3 linked regions of the Cricetulus griseus genome follow. The protein of the gene in region 3 binds, or shares a complex with, the protein of the main gene of each other region. Links are inferred from orthologs where the notes say so. Each region holds a gene or a part of one and is shown on either strand. Other genes may lie near its edges. The genes, in order: Zmpste24, Banf1 and Lmna.

Evidence for each region.
Region 1: the proteins of Lmna (region 3) and Zmpste24 are in contact, whole or in part, in a crystal structure (PDB 2YPT), measured with the Homo sapiens proteins. The link is inferred for Cricetulus griseus from reciprocal best matches to the Homo sapiens genes LMNA and ZMPSTE24. Residues at the interface, in NP_001393912.1 of Homo sapiens: Cys661, Ser662, Ile663, Met664; in NP_005848.2 of Homo sapiens: Ser264, Asn265, Ala266, Tyr267, Phe268, Val332, His335, His339, Glu415, Leu438, Asn439, Asn442, His459, Arg465.
Region 2: the proteins of Lmna (region 3) and Banf1 are in contact, whole or in part, in a crystal structure (PDB 6GHD), measured with the Homo sapiens proteins. The link is inferred for Cricetulus griseus from reciprocal best matches to the Homo sapiens genes LMNA and BANF1. Residues at the interface, in NP_001393912.1 of Homo sapiens: Ser431, Gln432, His433, Ala434, Arg435, Met540, Lys542; in NP_001137457.1 of Homo sapiens: Val11, Ala12, Glu13, Pro14, Glu83, Asp86, Ala87, Phe88.

The regions. Positions count from the first base shown.
Region 1 is NC_048595.1:31,100,208-31,106,854, forward strand, and holds the end of Zmpste24 (CAAX prenyl protease 1 homolog), read left to right. Parts: intron 1-2,889; coding exon 2,890-3,114; 3' UTR 3,115-4,778; downstream 4,779-6,647. UniProt on the Homo sapiens protein: Transmembrane metalloprotease whose catalytic activity is critical for processing lamin A/LMNA on the inner nuclear membrane and clearing clogged translocons on the endoplasmic reticulum.
Region 2 is NC_048596.1:53,964,266-53,971,519, reverse strand, and holds Banf1 (barrier-to-autointegration factor), read right to left. Parts: upstream 4,875-7,254; 5' UTR 4,737-4,874; intron 4,124-4,736; 5' UTR 4,108-4,123; coding exon 3,985-4,107; intron 3,466-3,984; coding exon 3,319-3,465; 3' UTR 2,937-3,318; downstream 1-2,936. Other genes in the region: probable RNA-binding protein EIF1AD, read left to right, coding at 6,564-6,650, 6,780-6,888, 6,981-7,089, 7,246-7,254. UniProt on the Homo sapiens protein: Non-specific DNA-binding protein that plays key roles in mitotic nuclear reassembly, chromatin organization, DNA damage response, gene expression and intrinsic immunity against foreign DNA.
Region 3 is NW_023276806.1:66,024,156-66,031,452, forward strand, and holds the end of Lmna (lamin), read left to right. Parts: intron 1-5; coding exon 6-176; intron 177-351; coding exon 352-477; intron 478-1,628; coding exon 1,629-1,849; intron 1,850-1,938; coding exon 1,939-2,161; intron 2,162-2,780; coding exon 2,781-2,888; intron 2,889-2,984; coding exon 2,985-3,104; intron 3,105-3,499; coding exon 3,500-3,589; intron 3,590-4,292; coding exon 4,293-4,559; intron 4,560-4,821; coding exon 4,822-4,848; downstream 4,849-7,297.

The sequences.
Region 1 (6,647 bases), on a different chromosome or scaffold from region 3:
GATGTTGGACTACTCAGGGGATTTTTTTGTTTTATTCTGTCTCCTTACTTAATAGTTGAATTCACTTCAAAAATCACCAAAATAAATACTAGGTATTAGAGTGGTTTGCAATGTGATTAGTCCTCAGAGGTACCAATATCATGTTAAAAGCCTTGAGTTGCCCAGGAGATACATTCCAGAGGCCCTGGATGTTTAGCCTGGACTTCTTGGATGCAGTATCAGCATTTACGGGGCTTAAAATAGGAGAGATACTTTCCTAGGATTGCCCTTTCAAGAAAAAGAAAAAAATTGGAGGGCTAGCTCAGTGGTTACAAGTTAGTGCTGCTCTTCCAGAGCACCCAGAGTTCAATTCCTAGAACTTAGATCAGGTACATCCAGCATCTGCAGGCACCTGTACTCATGCCCCCCACACCCACCCCACATACATACACAAAATTAAAAGTAAAATACGTATTTTTCATCCCAGCACTCAGGGAGGAAGAGGCAGCTGGATCTCTATGAGTTCAAGGCCAGCCTGGTCTATAGATTGAGTTCCAGAATAGCTAGAGCTATGCAGAGAAACCCGGCCTCAATAAGAAACAAAGAACGAAGGAATGAAGGAACGGAAAGAAAGAAAGAAAGAAAGAAAGAAAGAAAGAAAGAAAGAAAGAAAGAAAGAAAGAAAGAAAGAAGAAATTAGAAACCTACAGCAAAACAGGTGGTTATTCTGGGCTTGCACAATCTTAATTCATGTGGAGTTGCACAGTCTTAATTCCAGCACTCTGGAGGCAGAGGCAGGTGGATCTCTGTGATTTCGAAGCTAACCTGGTCTACAGAGCTAGTTCCAAGACAGCCAAGACTATACAAAGAAACCCTGTCTTGAAAAACAAACAAGTGGTTACTAATTTGCTTATATTTTATTTATGCATTATAGCAAAAATCAAAGACTGATTGACTGGTGTTCTTAAAATAGAGGTGAGGTGAGGGATGTGAATGAGGGATTTTCGTTGTTTTGTTTTTCAAGGCAGAGTTCTACTGTGTATCCCCGGCTGTCCTGGAGCTTGTTCTGTAGACCAGGCTGGCCTACAGAGATCTGCCTGCTTCTGCCTCCTGCGTGCCGGGGTTACAGGCAAGCATCACCACCACCTGTTTTGTTTTGTTTTTATGGTTTTGAAAGCTGAACACAGGGCCTCACAAGTGCTAGGCGAGTGCTGAGATAAGGTTACTAGAGCCTGAATAAAGGTTGGAGGAGGGGTTGTCTCCTCTCCCCTTTCCTTCTTTCCCTCCTTGAGACAGCCACATACTCCTGCCTGAGTCTCTTTGGTAGCTAGAGTGACAGCTACACATCACCACGTATGACTCAGATAGCCAAACCAAAATGTACATTCAAGATTTGAAAGACATTCATGCAGAATTGGATGGTAACAGAGACTCACACACTTTATTAGGAAATTCATATTTACTAAAGGGGGGGAGGGACGGAGGGAGAGAGAGAGACAGAGAGAATGTATATGTGTGTTGTATACATAAGTATGCTTGCCCATGTGGAGACCAAAGTTTAACTTCCTCTGTTGCTCTCCAAGGCCAGAAATTGATATCAGGGATCTTCCTGTGTCACTGAACCTGGCTGCCTAGCAAGCCCCTGAGGTCCCCACTCCCTAGCACTGGGGCTGCTGATGTACACTTGGCTTGTCCATGAGTGCTGGCTGTGAATTCAAAGTTGGGTCCTCAGGCTTGCACAGCAAGTACTTTACCACGGAGCTATCTCCCAGCCCCCAATGTGTATATGTATATGTATATGTATATGTATATGTATATTTATCATGTCATTCAATCTACTATGCTTGTGTATGCAAAGACTTTGGTTTTCAGTTCAGGGTTTCTCTGTGTAGCCCTGGCTGTCCTGGACTCACTCTGTAGACTAGGCTAGCCCCCAACTCAGAGCTCCACCTGCCTCTGCCTCCCAAGTGCTATTATAAAGACCTTTTAATCCCTCAGAGTTTATATTTTTCCATGAAGAATTTTCCTCTCATGTGGTCTTTAGAAATTGTGAACTTACTCTGGAGATATTACCATAGCCACTTAGAAAACATTCAGTTTTGAGTGTGAGGCCAGCTACAGGGAGAGACCACGTCAATAACAAAACAAGATTTAAAACTATTGTCAGAGGCTCAGTCATATATTTTAGAATAATCTTAGTGAAGACTTATTAAAGATAGATAAATGATTAAGAATATTAAAAATGATCATGTGGGACTGGAGAGGTGGCTTAGTGGTTAAGAGCACTGGCTGCCCTTGCAGAGGCCCTGGGTTTAGTTCCCAGCAACCACATGGTGACTCATAGCCATCTGTAACTCCAGTTCAAAGAAGTCTTGAAGCCCTCTTCTGACCGGTTTGGGCACCAGGCAAAACACAAGCACAAAATAAGTATTTGAAAAAGACCCTCCAGATGTAGTTGTGGATTCCTGTGGTCCTAGCATTTGGGATGTGGGGGCAGAAGAGAGAGAGAGAGAGAGAGAGAGAGAGAGAGAGAGAGAGAGAGAGAGAGAGAGAGAGAGAGAGAGAGAGTGAACAGAGAAGTGATTCTGGAACGCTGGGCTGAATTCACATCCTGATCTGTACAGTAGCAGGGAGAAGTTCCTAAAGAATATGAAGCCTTTGCACATGACACTTTCCCAGAAGCTCCTTTCTAATAAGGGTATATACCCATTTCTGGTCTGTTTGCTTGAAGTGGGGGAAGCTCAGTTTGACATTCCACACACCCCCATCCCCAAGTCATAGCCTCCTAATAGGTTTGGCTTGCCTTGCCTTTCTCATGTCCTGACCAGCCTTCCTCCACAGCCTGGCTCATGAAGACTTAGGTGACAATGAAGGTGCCAGGTGGCTAAACCCTTTTCTTTTCTTCTGCAGGTTTTGTCTTTCTGCCTGACAGTCCTGAGCCGCAGATTTGAGTTTCAGGCCGATGCTTTTGCCAAGAAACTTGGGATGGCTAAAGACTTATACTCTGCTTTGATCAAGCTAAACAAGGATAACCTGGGATTCCCAGTTTCTGACTGGTTGTTTTCAACGTGGCACTATTCACACCCTCCACTACTAGAGAGGCTTCAGGCTTTGAAAGACACAAAGCAAGACTGAGCCGCTTGGTGTCTGGACACACTTCCGGTTATATCTGTCCTGGCAGCATGTTCCAGCTCTTGATGTTTTTAATTTTTTAAGAAAAATGATTAAGTACATAAAAGTCCAGATTTAAATACATTTACTATCTCATTTCAAAAATGATCGTAATAATCCATTTCTTAAAATACTGGATAGAAATTTGAGGCTTAATATTTTTAAAACATAGTCTTATCTAACATTGGTTTACCATCAGTTTGTAAAATTACTTAAGGCAATGCACAGCTCGTTTTATTTCCTTACTGTGGAGTCTGCGTATAGGGTATTCAGGCTGTGTGTTTAGGGAGGAAACATCACCTCCAGGTAGTTTCTTCAAGACAGAATCAGAAAGGATGGCCCCCAATCATTGTGCTTGTACCTACATGGAGTTTGTTTTTACCTTCATGATGTTATGATTTAACTTGGCCAATCAGTGTTTTAAATAAGAAAGAAAAGTACAAATTAGTGAGGCTAATGCTACTGAAATGGACGTTGTTAGTCTACACTGTACTGTTGTAGTCACAAAGCTTTCTGTTCCTTTCTTGCTACACACCAATCAGGAATCCTCTCCCTTCTTCTTCCCTCCCTCCTTCCTCCCCTCACTTCCTTCTTTTTTTGAGATAAGGTCTCATTTTAGCCCTTATTGGCCCCAAGTTTATTCTTTAGCCTAGGGTTGCCTAGAACTCTCTTACCAGGCCTCCTTCCTCGGCCTTCCAAATGCTGGGATTGCAGATGTGAGCCACCACACCCAGCTTAGGAATTAATAGTGCTTGAAATTAGAAATCTTTTAAGAAAGTCTTAATTTTAAGCCAGGTTTGGTAGCACTTACCTTTAATCCCAGTGCTTGAGGCAAAGGCAGATGGATCTGTGAGCTGAGGTCAGCAAGGGCTACATAATGAGACCCTGTTTGAACAAAGAAAAGAGAAAGGGAAAAGAAAGTCAGTTTCAGCTCTTTACCTTACCTTCCACCTGGCCTTGTTAGAGGTAAAGTAGCCTTTTGTCAGTCTTGTTTCCCCCAGCAACTGACAGTACATCCTTTCACTTAGCAGAAGTTGCCATGTTGTACACATTCCCGATGTTAAATATGGCAGAATAGGAGAAAAAGAAGAGATGACATCTGAAAAGATGTAAAGGTGGGATATTCGTGATTCTCTTATTACAGGAAAAAGTACACGTTATCTTTTTTCAAGGACAGAGTCTCTGCTTTCATTTTTGTGATGTTTTTATTCATAAGATATAATTAGACCAGATTATATTTTTTAAATTATAAGCCTTGGTAGGCAGGCAGATATTTCCTTTCAAAAATAGCCTCATGAAAGATTTCCAGTGGTAAGAGGTGTGTGCTTGACCACTTCAAATGCCTGTCCATGTCCTGGGCATTCACTCCATCGTGTGATGACTATACACTATGACATGTGAGTGAGTGGTGCCTTCCCTCAGACCATAATAGCCTCAGAGCTCTAGTTCAGCACTGCATTGTTTATGTCCTACAGCTAAGCAGAGCAGCCCACGGTTTCTCTCCAGCATCCTTCCCTATGACTTCATGCTCAGATAATTGCCTTTCCTTCCTTCTGTGCCTTTAAATATACATTTCAGTTCTGCACAAGTGAGACATTAAAAATTGCCAATGCAGATTTATGTCCTTATGTTGGGTTTTGTGTTGTGATTTTCGCGTCACGTCACCCAGATGTGTTGATTGCCTACAGGAACAGTGCTGTCTGTGGATCCTGTGAACAGCCCGGAGTCTGAGTGATACCAGTGCTCATGCTGCCTCTGTTCCTTTCCCGATATAGATCACCAGTTCTTGCTGACACTCCCTCAGAAGCAGCCTTGGAATTACCCTATCTCCATTATTGTAAGCTCAGATTCTCTTAGGCTTGGTTTTTATTGTTGTAACCCTTTGGATCCTCTGTATCATCCAGATTAATCAGGAAATACCCAAGTGTATTCTAAAGCCTAAGAAACCAGGATTGCCTATACAGATAACTGCCCTGTGTGAGTCAGAGCTCACCTCTGATCCTCAATAATAGCCAACAGTAAGATACACTAGTCCCTTCTTCCTGTAGTTTTCCTTTCTGGCCATTACAGAAATACTAGTAACATTTGTCAGGTTGTTAAAGAGAAACTTTCTTGGATACGGTCTCCTGCATCCCAGGTTGGTCTCAAACCTATCTGGTAGTTGAGGATGACCTTGAACTTGATCTTGACTCTACCTCCTGAGTGCTGGAATTGCAGGTGCCATTACATGGTGGCCAGCATGTGCCACCATGTTTATGTGATGCAGGAAATTGAACCCAGAGTCGAAGTACTCTATAAGTTGAGCCGTAGTCCAAACCCTACATACAATGTGTTGTCATAACTGTTTTATTAGTTACTGTTAATCTCTCACTATGATTAATTTAGAAGCTAAACTTTATCATAGGTATATGTGTTGTAATTTTTTAAAAAAGCAGTTCCAATGAAAAAGACACCATGTGGCAGAGTTCAAACAGAGGGTGTTTTTTTTTTTTTATATATAGGGGAAAGGGATTGTTTTGGTTTGTTTGTTTGTTTGTTTGTTTGTTTTCGAGACAGGGTTTCTCTGTGTAGCTTTGGAGCCTATCCTGGCACTCGCGCTGGAGACCAGGCTGGCCTTGAACTCACAGAGGTCCACTGGGCAGGGCCCTTTTAAAAGGGAACGCAGTGAATGTGTACAGGTGGTGCTCTTAGTGGCCGCAGCTGAGGGCATATCCGGTCAGGACTCCAAGGACAGGCCAGTACAAATGCCTGAATACTAACAATGTGTGCATAGAAAAATCGATAATGGAGCCCAGTGACAGGGCATTGTAGGTAACTGGAGGCATCATTCAAAAGGGAAACTATGGGTATAAAAGCCTTGAAACAGGTAATACCAGAAGGCCAGAGGGTGGGAAGGGTGCTAGAGGGGTTGCGAAGTGAAACAGGGAGGTCAGATTTTACTGCGCCTTGTTGCTGCTGTGAGAATTCAGACTTTGGGGGCTGGGGATGTGGCTCAATTAGAGTACTTGCCTAGGATGCACAAGGCCCTGGGTTTGAACCCAATGCTTTGAGATGGAGGGGTTTTAAGATTTTTTTGGTTTTTGTTTTTTGAGTCAGGGTTTCTCTGGCCGGACTCAAACTCACAGTGATCTGCCTACCTCTGCCTCCCCACCCCCACCCCCCACCCCCAGTTCTGGGATCAAAGGCGAGCTGTGCCACGCCTGGTTTTAAAAGTTTACTTGGTTGTGTGGGAAGTGTTAGGCATGAAGGCTTAGGACATGATGTGGCTTAGTTTTACAGGATTGCCCTGGTTTCTGTATTAGAAGTGGGTTGGTGGGGGCTGGAGAGTTGGCTCAGAGGTTAATGAGGACTGGCTGCTCTTCCAGAGGTCATGAGTTCAAATCCCAGCAACCACATGGTAGTTTACAACCATCTATAATGAGATTTGGTGCCCTCTTCTGGTGTGCAAGCATAATGCAGGCAGAACACTGTATGTATAAAAAAATAAATAAATCTTA
Region 2 (7,254 bases), on a different chromosome or scaffold from region 3:
GCAAGACACACAGAAATCCCGAGAATAGAACATGTTTTTTTCTTGTGTTTTTGTTATGCTTTTTGTTGTTTTTTCAAGATAGGGTTTCTCTGTGCAGTCCTGGTTGTCCTGGAACTTGCTCTGTAGACCAGGCTGGCCTCACAAAGATCCACCCACCTCTGCCTCTGGGATTAAAGGTGTGCGCCATCAAAGCTCAGCAAGCCACATGGTTTTGTGTCCATGGTCCCATACTGAGGTTATTCTGAACTACTGCTCTGGTTCACTTTCCCTACTGTGCAGTTGCAAGAACTTTAACTCACACTGGGAACCACCAGTCGGTACTGCAGTGTCTCACAGGCTAGGCAGCTGTGAACATTTCTTAAAGTCCTGGTACAGGTGCTCAGGAGTTTCTTAGAGGCACAGACCTAAGAATGGAATTGATGGCTCACCGGGTGTGTCGGTTTTGCAAAATAACACTCAGCTGTTTTTCCACAGTACTCATAGCAATTTACTCCCACCAACTAGGATCAGTTCCGGTTGCTCCATTTGCTCAACCCTTGGTATTGTCTGACTTAAGATTTTTGCCTATCAGTTAGGCATTAATGGCACTTGTTTTTCTCATTTCTAATGAAAGTGAACCCTTTCCATGTGCTATTTTAAAATCCTCCCTTTCAGATTTTCTACCAAGTTCCCCATTTCATCATCCTCTTTTCTTTTTGCAATACTAGGGATTGAATCCAGGGTCTCATGAAAACTAGGCATTTTACCACAAAACTACATCCCTAGCCTGTGTCCCCTTTTCTCTCGTGTGTGTGTGTGTGGGGGGGTAATTCCTTTGACTATGCATGTGAAGACCAGAGAAGGCCATGCATCTATTTCTATCATTCTCCACTTCACTTACTGACGGTCTCTCACTGGACCTGAAACTGTTTCAGCCAGACTGGCTGGCCAGTGGACACCTTGAATCCTCTTCTCTATAACAATGGGGTGATGGTGTTATGGGTATGTGCAGCCATTCCCATTTTTATGTGGGTGCTATGGATTTGAACTCAGGTCCTCTTGCTTTCACAGTGTTTATTCTCTTAGCCATCTCCACAGACCACTTTCTTTTGGAGATAGAATCTCATGAACCCAAGGCTGGCCTGGAAGTTGCTTTGTAGCCAAGAATGAATGACCTTATATCCTTATACCTCCCAGCTATGATTTCAGAGGTGGTTACCACCACACTACCAACTGAGCCATATCCCAGACATTTTTTTCTTTTTTGGTTGTTCAAGACAGGGTTTCTCTGTGGCTTTGGAGGCTGTCCTGGAACTAGCCCTTGTAGACCAGGCTGGTCTTGAACTCACAGAGATCCACCTGCCTCTGCCTCCCGACTGCTGGGATTAAAGGTGTAAGCCACCAGTGCCTGGCCCCAGACATTTTCTTGACAGCAGCTGTAGTATGTGTTCTGGGTGAGGATTTTATTAATAAAAATACTCCCACCCACTCTGTGATCATTCCTTTACTCGGGTTTTAGATTAAGTTTCTAGTATTAATGCAGACCATCTTATGAACATTCTCTTCACTGTGAGACCATGGAAATTTTCTCTTGCCGTGCCCACTCTTGTACTGTCATCCTTGCTTTCCTGGACATTAAACATGCAGAAAAGCATTTCGTTTCTATACGTCACTGCTCAATGACACTTTTAGTTGAAGAAATGAACACCAAGCAGGCTGAGTGTTAAACAGCATTGTACCTTGTCCCCACAACCCTCATCCACATGAGGAAACTGAGGCTTAGAGAGCATGGGTAACATGACATAGGACACAGTCTCCCAAATTACAGTCTGAGGGCTGCCAAGGCCCAGCCTGTATGAGTCCCAACGCTAGAGAGGCCATCTATTCCGGACTGATGTCTTTGGGGCTGTAATCGGAACCATCCTAACAGCCCTGGCTCCTTCCCTGAGTGGGAGAGTGTGGACCTGGGGAAGCTAATTACCAAAGGATGAGACACAGACATCTTGTCATCTCAGAAGGGCTCTCAGTCCATGCTGGAGACTGGAGTCCACCATTTATTCAAACATCCTCTTAAATAGCTTTCCAACCACGGGAGTGATATCAGAAGACATCTATTATCATGTATAAAGATGATATTTCCTTTAATCCTAGAGGCACCCCTAAAACTGTACATCCTCAGTCCTCACTAGCCTTTCACCAGTCCCTAGGCACTGTATAGTAGCCCTCAGAATAGGTGTGGGCCCACCCGGGGCCTATGTCTGTTGTTATGCAAACTAGGAGACATTCTCCACTGAGGCCAAACCATCTGCTAGCAACCAGTTGGACATCTAAAAGACATGTGAGATTCGAGCTCCTGGGATAGAGTTTGAGGCCTGTATCTGAAATACCATAATTGATATTTCAGGCCCCTGACAGAGGGCCAAAGGTCTTCACCTCTCTGAAATAATTAAAATGCTTACAAAGATGTTAGTTTCAGGCCAGTTCACGATATGAGCTTGAAAACAACAGGACTGGAATTTAATTTTCAAGTTTAACTATTTCCTTTCATGTCTATGATAGCTGGGCAAACAGCAAAAGTACCACCCATTCTTCCCAGAGGCTACAAGAGCACATGACATGATGACTGTCAGGTGAACTCTTACCCACATCCCACCCACCCTCTTCCTGGTACCTGACTCCTACTAACTTTTCCACCAGGTGCTGCCTGAATCAAATGTTGACATCTAGAAGCCTACAGCCTACCTGGCTCCCAGGAAGAAATCAACCCACAGTCTGTCCCACATTATTTAGGATTGGGACACTAGGGCACCTGCCCAAGTCCCACATGGCTAGGGTGGTTCCCTCTTGGGAGGGGAAAAAGAAGCCACCAGTTTCGGTCTGCACTGATAAGATATGTTCAGTCCCTGGGGAAGACATAACTCCCAGCGCACCTGCTTTCCAACACACAACACCAATCATGAAGGCCACTGACTTTATTAGTCTAAAAATCTTTGTAAGGGCGGTAACTATTTTCGACAAAAAAGAAAAAAACAAAAAAAAGAGCCAAAGGACATCCAACAGATCGTGAATGGAGGGAGAAAAGGGCTAGGAATCCATTGGGGAAAGTTAACTGTTGCCATGGAACTGCAGGGGGAGAGGAGAAAGGCATGCAAGGGCAAGAATCCTAAAAAGGTTGAAACGCTGAGGGGAGAGAACTCCCAAAAGACCCTGGAGTACATAGGAGGTGAGTGTGACAACAGTAATCTTTCCCTTCACGGAGGACAGGGAGGAGCCCCACCCGGCTTCAGACTCTGGAGACTCAATATTGTGGCTGGGGGGCTGAGGAGTCCCCAGAGTACATTACAAGAAGGCATCACACCATTCTCGAAGGCACCCAAAACAGTCCCGGGACTGCTTGGCATTGGCACCACACGTGTCCTTCAGCCATTCTCTGAAGAGGTCTTCATCTTTCTTTAGCACCAGAAACTGGCCAAGGACCACATAAGCCTATAAAACAGGAAGGGCATACAGCTAAGTGCCTTGTGAGCAAAGAGCAACCTGAAGGGGCCAGATCTCTGAAGCTAGGCAAGTCAGCTGATAAGCACTTGAGAGGGCAAGGCCATTTTGTTTTGGTTGTTTTGTTTAAGACAGGGTCTTGCTTTGTTGACTAGACTGGCATTAAACTAGATGAGAATCTGCTTGCCTCAATCTCACAAGTGCTGGGGTCATAGGGAGGACCCACTATACCTAGTTTCATCACCTTTGTGGCATTGAAAACACTCAAAGGGTAGGACACAGTAGGGCACACCTTTAATCCCAGCACTTGTGAGACAGAGATCCTGTCTCCAAAACAACAACAAAAATGACTTTGCCTCCCCAGATGCCCCCAAACCACTTCAAATTATCTACCACTGTCCGTGCCCTCCCCGTACCCCTACTTTTCCTAACTCCCAATTTTTTTGCTTGGAATCATCTGTTGCCAACTTTCACTCCTACCCCTCCCTGGCATCTGTGGCCACCCCACACCTTGTCAAAGCCCCTTTCCTCCAGCTTCTTGCCCAGGACTTCACCAATCCCGGCCAGGCTCCCCACTGGCTTTTCCCCCATGGGCTCTGCCACGAAGTCACGGTGCTTTTGGGAGGTTGTCATCTTGATCAGGTTTAACCTGGGAATCCCAAAAAAAGGCAGGTTAGGGCTGAAGACCACAACTCCCAAGGGCAACCTCCTAGGTCAGCTATTGTGGCTGCTTCCTCGATTCCCCCTCATCTCACACCTGAGAAAATTGGGGGCCAGGGAAAGTCTTTCCCCCGCTATTACATCCTGAAATCTCCACTTTCTGTGGGCCCTGGGATTTGGTAATGAGCTTGCACTAACAAGTGGCGCACGTAGAGAAAGACTCACAGCCTCAGCAGCCAGGGCCCGCCCTGAAGCTGTCACTCTTGGTGACCTTGGCCAGGCAAACACTGACCCCGACCGGAGCTACCACGTGGTAGAAATAGCAGCAAAAAGAGGGGCTCGTTACCCTCGCCGCCCTCCACAGGCCAACAGGCGCCGCGCACCGGCTCCCGCAGCCCGCCGGAGCCCACGCCTCGCGGCTCCCAGGCCCCGCCCCGGACGCGCCGCCCCGCCTCCTCCACGCGCCGCGGCTCGCACGCGCCGCGGCTCCCACGCTCCGCGCACCGCCCCTCCCGCAAGGCCAGGCTGGTCCGCTGCAGAGACGCGCCTCAGCCACGGGCGCTCCTCTCCCTCCCGCCTCCGCCGCCTAGCCGGAGCCTTACTTCGCCGCTCACGCTCACCGGCAGCTCCGGCTCTCGTAACGGCTCCTCCCGCCACTCGGCAGCTCCAGCCGATACCTCAAGTTGCTAGAACGTTCTTCAACTTCCGCTTCCGGGTCGTGTCAGGAGCCGCCTTTAAAAAAAAAATACCCGAATTGGGCACGTCTAGCCACAGAGAGCCATAGAGTTGAGGCGCAACCGCTAACTGCGGAGCCCACAGAGGTCGCTGTTTTCCGGTCCCTCACAGGAAGCCGCGCTGCTTTCTATGGTCGTGTTTCTCCGGCCCCGCTTCCCATCTATGAGACCGAGGCCTCCGAGGAGAATACTGTTATCTTTTTCTTGCCCAGCACCTGGAACTTAAAGACTTAGGTGGCCTGACTTGGTCGAGGGAAGACTAAAGGAACGGACAAAGAAGGGGCGGGGCATCCGGAGGGCTACTGAGAGCCCCGGAAGTGCAATTCTCGCGGGTTCCTCAGAGTCAGGTCTATCTGAAGCCGGCTGACGGCAGCTGGGAACACCGGTGGTCTGAGGCCAGGCGTCCAAACCGGCGCGACCGTCGTGACCACCTGCCAGTCGCATTTCTTTGCTTTTGTTGACTCCGTCTTGAAGTGAGTCGTAGACGAGCTGCGTTCAGCGTCTACCTGGAAAACGTAGCTTGCTTGTGTAACGCCGAGCGGGTGAGTGCTGTGGGCGGCTCTTTTCTCGAAGGGTTTTTCGGCTTGAAGCGCTGCGGTGGTGGCCGAGTCAGTCTACACCATGAGTGTTAGGAGGACGAGCATCTGTTGTATGGCTGACCTACACTTGGGGGTGTTAAAGCATGTGGAGGAAAGTAGTTTACTCAAACTTCCCCAAAGACGTTGTCAGCCCGGGCGGTGGTGGCGTAAGCATTTAATCCCAGCACTCGGGAGGCAGATGTAGTCAGATCTCTGTGAGTTCGAGACCACCCTGGTCTACAAGAGCTAGTTCCAGGATAGGCTCCAAAGCTACACAGAGAAATCCTGTTTCGGAAAAAACAAACAAAAGGTTGTCAGAATGATCGGCCTGGGAGGTGCGTATGGTTTCATCGTCACGTCAGTACTTATTTACATTTTTTTTGTTAGTTATTGAGAGGATATCTCGCTACGTAGACCAGACTGGCCTCCATATGCTTTCGTCTACCTCTGTGGTTTGGGATTAGAGTCTTGAGATTTAAGGCTTGAGCCATCCCCCTTTCTTCCAAGTAAGACTATAAGACATGTTTCCTGGTTTCTTTTACTGTGTGTGGGTGTTACAGGTGTCCTTGGTGGCCAGAAGAGGGCATTGGATTCCCCTAGAATTGGAGTTAGAGATGGTTGTGAACCAACTGATGTGGGTGCTGGGTCCTGAGACATCTCTCCGGCCCTTAAACGTCATGTTTGCTTCATTTTTGAGACAGGGTTTCACTATGTAGACCAGGCTGACCTAGAACGCAACAAATATCTGCATGCCTCTGCATACCAAGTGCTAGGAATAAAGGCATACACCAGCATCTGGCTAAACACGTGCCTTGTTTTTTAGTGATTTTTTTTTTTATGTTTATCAGTGTTTTTACCTGCATGTATGTCTCAAAATGAGGGTGTTGGAGGTAGGGTCAGTTGTAGCTTCTGTGAGTGCTGGGAACCATACCTAGATTCTCTACAAGAGCAGCAAGTCGCCAGTCCTGTAAAGCTCTTGTTTTTAACAGGGCAAGGTGGCACTTCTCTTATAAGGCTGCTTCTCCTGAGAGCAGTCCTGGCTTCTAAGACTGCCATCCACATAACTCTGGAAGAGCTGACGTTGTCTGCGTCCTAACAACCCTGGACAGAACCCAGCATGTCTCAGGCCACCAAGAGAAAACACGTGGTGCAGGAGGTGCTGGGAGAGCACATGGTGCCCTCAGACCAACAGCAGATAGTGAAGGTGAGAGCATGGGTCTCAGCTTTTCTCTACGCCCACCGGACCCCTGGGATGTGGGAAGGGCTCAGTGCAGGTCAGTGTGTGCTTGATCTAACTGGTGATGTGCCTAATTCTTGATCTTTCCTGCACCAGGTCCTGAGGACTCCCGGCAACAATCTGCATGAGGTAGAGACGGCACAAGGGCAGCGCTTCCTGGTGAGCATGCCCTCCAAATACCGAAAGAACATCTGGATCAAAAGAGGTTAGAGGCATCCCTGTACAGTACAGAACCATGACCTTGATTCTTGATTTTCTCCTTCACATGGGAATGCCTTTATCTTTTGTCACTTACAGGGGACTTCCTCATTGTTGACCCTATTGAAGAGGGAGAGAAAGTGAAGGCTGAGATATCTTTTGTGCTCTGCAAGAACCATGTCCGTTCTCTGCAGAAGGAGGGCCACTGGTAGGATAATTTCTAGCTTCTAGGTGTGGTAACATCTTAGCTATGGAATGGGGTAGGGGTGGTGAGGTTATGCCATCCCAAGAGGACATTTGGAAACAGCTATTTTGCTAAAAGGTTTCTCTTCACTCTCTGACCTGGATCTTCTCTTTGTCACAGGCCTGAGGC
Region 3 (7,297 bases):
TTTAGGAGCTGCGTGAGACCAAGCGCCGGCATGAGACCCGGCTCGTGGAGATTGATAACGGGAAGCAGCGTGAGTTTGAGAGCCGGCTGGCCGATGCCTTGCAGGATCTGAGGGCCCAGCATGAGGACCAGGTGGAGCAGTACAAGAAGGAGCTAGAGAAGACATACTCTGCCAAGGTGCTGGCCTCACCCTGTCCTCTCCCTGGTGCTGCCTCAATGCCTGTCCTATCCATGCTGGGTGTGCCTTGGGGGTGGGTAGATGGGAGCAGGGAGATTGAGCCAGTGACACCATCCTCAGGTCACTAGCTCTATCCCTCCAGGTTCCTGTTCTAATACTGTGTGCTCCATACAGCTGGATAATGCCAGGCAGTCTGCTGAGAGAAACAGCAACCTGGTGGGGGCCGCCCATGAGGAGCTCCAGCAGTCCCGAATCCGCATCGACAGCCTCTCAGCCCAGCTCAGCCAGCTCCAGAAGCAGGTGACGCCCCGTTTACCCTTTCCACCAGGGCGCTGGGCTAAGCAGATCCTGCAGAAGCCCACTGTGAAGAGGGGGAGTAGAGGGGAAAAGGGACCGCAGGACTACACACTATGGTTTGGAGTCTCATGTCTACTGTGTTCCAGCATCCCCCTTCAGCTTGCCTTGGTCCTCAGAGCCTCTTTTTTACCTTTTGTATGAAAGGTTTTTCCTGTTTACTGTGTGTGCTGGGGATTAAACCCGAGGAGGCCTCGGGCGTGGTAAACAGGTGCTTCTTTTTTCTCCGTATTTGAAAATGGAGATTACCTTGGGCTGGGCTAGTGGCTTAGTTGGTAGAATGCTTGCTTATCATGCATGCAGCCCTGGTTCTATCCCCAGCACCACATAGAACCTGGCATGGTGGTACCTGCCTTTCAACCCAGGCTGTAATATCAGGGATTCAAGGTCATCCTCAGCTTTATAGCAAGTTTGAGACCAGCCCAGACTACATGAGACCCTGTCTCAAAAACAGAAAAGCCAGGCAGTGGTGGTGCACAATTTTAATTCCAGCACTTGGAGGCATAGAGAGGTGGATCTCTATGAGTTCAAGACTAACCTAGTAAAAAAACAAAAATAAAAAACAACAACAAAAACCCAAACCAAAATCAAATAAAAAATAATGCTTAAAATATAAGAAGAAAGAGAAGAATGGAAAATGGTGAACACTCTTGTCCTCCCCAATTCACAGATCTGTCATAACACTGCTGTGTGAGATATTGCAAGTAATATTATTTTAGATGGCTGTGCTATTTGTGGCAAAAGGAGATGGGGGGGAGGGGGTTTAGCCTCAGAAGGAGAGGTTTCAGTTAGATGTTAGATAGAGCTTCCTGGTTACTAGATAAGGCCATGGTGCCCCCCCCCTTTTTTTTTTCTTTCGAGACAGGATCTTTGTGTAACCTTGGCTGTCCTGGAACTCACTGTGTAGACCAGGCTGGCCTCAAACTCACAGAGATCCTCCTGCCTCTGCCTCCCGTGTGCTGGGATTAAAGGCATGCGGCACCACCACCTGGCTTGCCATGGTGTTTCTAAGGAGAGCCCACAGATCCTGCCCCCCCTTCTTCATTACTTTTGGCCCTTGGGCGCTCATCACACCTTGCCTTTCCCACCCATCCCAGTTGGCAGCCAAGGAGGCAAAGCTGCGTGACCTGGAGGACTCCCTGGCTCGAGAGCGGGATACTAGCCGGCGGCTGCTGGCTGAAAAAGAGCGAGAGATGGCCGAGATGCGGGCGAGGATGCAGCAGCAGCTCGATGAGTATCAGGAGTTGCTGGACATCAAGCTGGCCCTGGACATGGAGATCCATGCCTATAGAAAGCTGCTGGAGGGCGAGGAGGAGAGGTGAGCCAGGAGGGGTCGAAAGACGTTGGCAGGAGCCTCTGGACTGCAACTACCATGACTAACCCCCCACCTTGTCTCCACCTTCCCAGGCTACGCCTGTCCCCCAGCCCTACCTCGCAGCGCAGCCGTGGCCGCACCTCTTCTCACTCATCCCAATCGCAGGGTGGGGGCAGCGTCACCAAAAAGCGCAAGCTGGAGTCCACTGAGAGCCGGAGCAGCTTCTCACAGCACGCTCGCACTAGCGGGCGGGTGGCTGTGGAGGAAGTAGATGAGGAGGGAAAGTTTGTGCGGCTGCGCAACAAGTCCAACGAGGTGGGCCTCAGGATCAGAGTCTTGCATTCAATAGCTGGGCGACATTGGTTCTCATGGAGCATCCATCTCTCTGGGAATTTGGAGTGTGACAGTCCCTACATCTCTAAAATTGTTGGGAAGATGGAAGATACCAGTGTGTGTGGCACAGTATACATGTTCACACAGCCACAGTAGGACCCTTGAGGGATAGGGTAGAGAGGCTAGTAGGTTTGAATACCAGAGATGGTGGTGGCAGACCTGGTTTTTGTTGTTGTTGTTATTTTTTATTTTTTATTTTTTGGATCAAGCTATTCCCCCTGTCCCCATGCCTCAGTACCAAAATCTGTAGTAGCTGGGACTACAGGTGTACACTATGGCATCTGGCCTACCCCGGCTCTTTTGTGAGATAAGTACCAGGTTGAAGACAGACTTTGAAGATTCTCCCCCCCCCCCCATGGAAGGCCTCATCCTCCCCGGGGAGCAGAAAGGGGATGGGTTAGGGAGTTAGTGGGGGGCAGGGGAGTTAGAAGGAACTGGGATTGACATGTAAAACAAGCTTGTTTCTAATTTAAATGAAAAAATAGAAAAAAAAAAAAGTACCGGGTTGAGTCTCCCGTTCTCCTCCCTCCCTCACTGGCAGGACCAGTCCATGGGAAACTGGCAGATCAAGCGTCAGAATGGTGATGACCCCTTGATGACATATCGCTTCCCACCAAAGTTCACTCTAAAGGCTGGGCAGGTGGTGACGGTGAGTGGAAGGGTGTTTGGGATTCTGGAGTGGAGAAGTTGGCCTCTGGACAGGAGCGTTAAGAATAAACACACTTCTTAAACTGTCTTTTCCCAGATCTGGGCTGCAGGAGCTGGGGCCACCCATAGCCCCCCTACTGACTTGGTGTGGAAGGCACAGAACACCTGGGGCTGTGGGAACAGCCTTCGTACAGCTCTCATCAACTCCACTGGAGAAGTGAGTATGTTGCAGCCTGGACCAGGCTCCCCCTGGTGGCCATAATGAGAGTCAGCTGCCCTCAACCCAATGCAACCTTGAATCACGTTCCAAGTGCCCACCCAGTAAGCAAGCTAGAAGTCTCCCCAGCAGGGTAATGGGTGGAAATCAGCCAGTGAATGTTGTTAGCTGCAGACTCGGCCTAAAGAGAGCTGATCTCCCAGGGGTGTCCTTTCTATATGTGTGCACAAGCACACTCCTTGACTCCAGTGTTAGAGGTCAGAGCAAACAGCCGGTTAGGGCAGAGCCTGGGAAGGTTCTAGGTGGTTATAGAGGGTTCTGGGAAGGTACTATGGGTAGACAGGCTGCATGGCCCCCACCCCCTGACTCTTGGGCCTGGGCCTATGTTCCCATAGGAAGTGGCCATGCGCAAGCTGGTGCGCTCAGTGACCATGGTTGAGGACGATGAGGATGAGGATGGAGATGAACTGCTCCATCACCACCACGTGAGTGGCGGCCGCCGCTGAGACCCAGCCCACATGGGTAGCCCTACCAGCCTAGGGCAGCTCCCCCACCTCTATGCCAAAGGTCTTTTCATTAAAGAATGTTTTGGAATGCCACTTGCTGCCCTGGCCTTTCTTCTCTCTCCTCCCTCTACCTTGAACAGGGAACCCAGGTGTCTGGTAAGGAAGGGAGTGGGAACTTTCTGGTGCCAAGGACTGTTCCACGGTGGCAGTGGACAAGGATCTGGATTTGTCTCCTGGGAAGGGGATGGGAGGACAGAGATGGCCCCAGCCCTGCCTCTCCCCTCCCTGCATGCATTCCTCTGCTGTCTCTTCTTCATCTGCTGCATGCTTCTTCTCACGTTCCCCTTATTTCCCGGCAACAGTGATTTCTCTCATTCCTGTCCCCTCCCTCACAAATTAAATATCTCCATCTCTGATCTCCCTCCCAATTTCCCTGTGAGATCCTAGGATTCAGGACAGTGTGAAAGCCACACCTCTCCATCTCGAAGCCTTCCTGGCCATTTTCCCCTGTCATGTCCTTCCTCCTAGCCACAGGCCTCCCAAGTCCCTATTCACTCCAGCTGTCTGGGTACAGAGGTCATCTTCCTGCCCAATGGCCAGGAAACTATAGGAGCCCAGAGCCTGGTCCTAAGCAGTCAGTCCCAGACGCACTGTCCCTCCTGAGCCTTGTCTCCCTTCCCAGGGCTCCCACTGCAGCAGCTCGGGGGACCCCGCTGAGTACAACCTGCGCTCACGCACCGTGCTGTGTGGGACTTGTGGGCAGCCTGCCGACAAGGCTGCCAGTGGCTCAGGAGCCCAGGTGGGCGGATCCATCTCCTCTGGCTCTTCTGCCTCCAGTGTCACAGTCACTCGAAGCTACCGCAGTGTGGGGGGCAGTGGGGGTGGCAGCTTCGGGGACAGCCTAGTCACCCGCTCCTACCTCCTGGGCAACTCCAGTCCCCGGACCCAGGTAAGTCATCATCGATCTGCATCTACCCCTACAGCAGGACACTGCTCACTAAGCAGCAGGGCAGGGCAGGCCACGGGAGTGGGACCCTCCTCCTTGTAGCCCCTCTTACACCCTGCCCCTCCTGTCTGAACCCCAGACTTGAGGGCAGGGCCAGAGCCAGAGGGTGAGGGTTGGGGGGACACACACCCCTTTGGGGTCAGGGAGGGAAAGGATGGGCCAGCCACTGTGCTCGCTCACATCTCTGCATTCTCTTCTCTCTTAGAGCTCCCAGAACTGCAGCATCATGTAATCTGGGACCTGCCAGGCAGGGGTGGGGCCAGAGGCCACCTGCTCCCACCTCACCTCATGCCCACCTCCTGCTCTGCACCTAATGGGAGCAGGCCTGAAGCCAAAGAAAAAATTTATTTCCTGCCTTTGGGTTTTTTTTCTTCTTCTTCTATTTTTTTTTCTAAGAGAAGTTATTTTCTACAGTGGTTTTATACTGAAGGAAAAACACAAGCAAAAAAAAAAGTCTCTATCTCAATCCTAAGTCCTTCCCATACTTTCCCTGTATCTGCCTTAAAATCAATGGGCTTCTTTCTCCAAGGAGCCCAGGGAAAGGACTGCTTTTATAACGGCTAGTTTTTGTCCTGCTGCCTTGGCCTTGCGCTTATCCCAGCACCCTGTGACATGGTGCCTGAGAGGCAGGCGTGGAGTTCTCTTCATCAGCCTCCTCCAGACAGCTGGCCCACTGCCACGCCGGCTGCAGAGAAAGGGGGTGCAGAGGGGATGGCTGAGAGAGGTCAAGCCCCTCCTGGTTCCACTGCACTTGGCTGAGCCTCCTCTGCCTGCCTTATACTCTTCCTGCCCCTCCCTAGCCTGGGGTCAGTGGATTCTCCCAGGCACCCCTGCCATGCTTGCTTTTTCTATATTTTATTTAGACAAAGATGGGAGTGAGGTGGGAGGAGGAGGGAAGGCCAGTCTGAGCCTGCCTTTTCCCAGCTTTAGAGCCTGGTGGGCCCTGTCCAGTCACTGGAAGGCAAAATCAAGTGGGAAGAGTGAGAAAGTAGGCTGCTGCAAAGGGCGAGAGCCGGCTGCGGCCCTGCCACAAGGGAGGCCTGTGAGTAGAGTAGAGTAGAGGGTGTGATGATTGGTGGTTACGGTAAACACTAAGGAGCCCTTCACCCCATTTCCCATCTGCACCTCTGCTCTCCCTCCAAATCAATACACTAGCTGTTTCCATCCTGGATGCTGTGCTGTCTCTCTTTGTTGGGTGTCACGTGTGTTTTGAGGGGCACACACATGCACACACATGCACACACAGGTCCCTGCATATTCAGTGCTACCCAGCCTCACCCTTGTCTAGGGCCACGGGAAGATGTGAAGGGGCATCTGTGAAGACGGGCACATGTGGGCCGAAGGAGAGGCTTTTCCTTCCTAACCTTCATCTGCCCAGCACTGGTCCAGCACCTTCTAAATGGGGCCCTCATGTGTGAACCAGAAGACACAGGAACACAGATAGAGGGCAGAGTAGCTGGGTAGGAGCAGCAGAACTTCTCTTGCAAAAGGCCAAACCTGTAGTCCCAGCACTCTGGATGCTTCGATTGCCTTGGTAGGTTGAGATATTCTCAGGGTTAGAAAAGCCAGGTGTGGCTCACACCTGTAATTTCAACACCTAGGAAGCAGGGGCAGGAGGACTGCTGCAAGCTCAAGGCCAGCCTGGTCTACATAGTGAGTTCCAGGTCATCTAGAGACTCTGTCACTAAATAAATAAATAAATATTTTTAAAAAAAGGAAGGAAGGAAAAGTCTGGGGAGTTTGAGACTACTAGCCTGGGATACATGAGACCTGTTTCCAAAACAAAATGTCAGGAGGCAGAGGCAGGTGGATCTCTGTGAGTTTGAGACCAGCCTGGTCTACAAGAGCTAGTTCCAGGACAGCCTCTAGAGCCACAGAGAAACCCTGTCTCGAAACAACATCATTCTGGGCATTCAGTCAAAAGTGATTGAGGGCTGAAAAGATGACTCAGAAGGTAAGAACTTGTACGGCTTTTGCAGAGGACCCGAGTTTGGTTCCCAGCACTCTTATCTGTTGGCTCACAACTGCCTATAACTCCAACCTTAGGGCATCTAACCCATCTTCAGGTCTCCAAGAGCGGCTGCTTTGAAAATGCACCCCCCATATACCCTAATTAAACAAACCCTTTTAAAGAAATGAGTGAGCTAGATACAGTGTTGTGTGCCTCTAATCTCAGTATTCCAGAGGTGGAGGCAGGTGGAAGATTCTAAGTTTGAGGCCAGCCTGTTATATATAGCAAGTTCCAACAACCAGGGCTATATAGAAGAGACTCTGTCTCTTTGGTTTTTGGAGACTTTTTTTTTCTGTATAGCTTTGGAGGCTGTCCTGGAACTAGCTCTTGTAGATCAGGCTGGTCTTGAACTCACAGAGATCCGCCTGCTGCTGCCTCCCAAGTGCTGGGATTAAAGGCGTGCACCACCACTGCTCAGCTCAAGAGACTGTCTTTAAAAAAGTGGAGGTGTTGAGGGTCAATGCGATGGCTTCATAGGTAAAGGCACTTGCTAACCTAAGTTCCATCTCTAAGACCCACCTGTTGGAAGGAGAGAACCACTTCCCTCACACTGGCTTTGACCTACATGTGCATGCCTGTTCTGTGGTACAGTTCTAGGGAAGACTGAACAAATGACTACTGACCCCAGGTAAAGAAATGACAATAGATCAAAGTAATGAATCACAAAAGT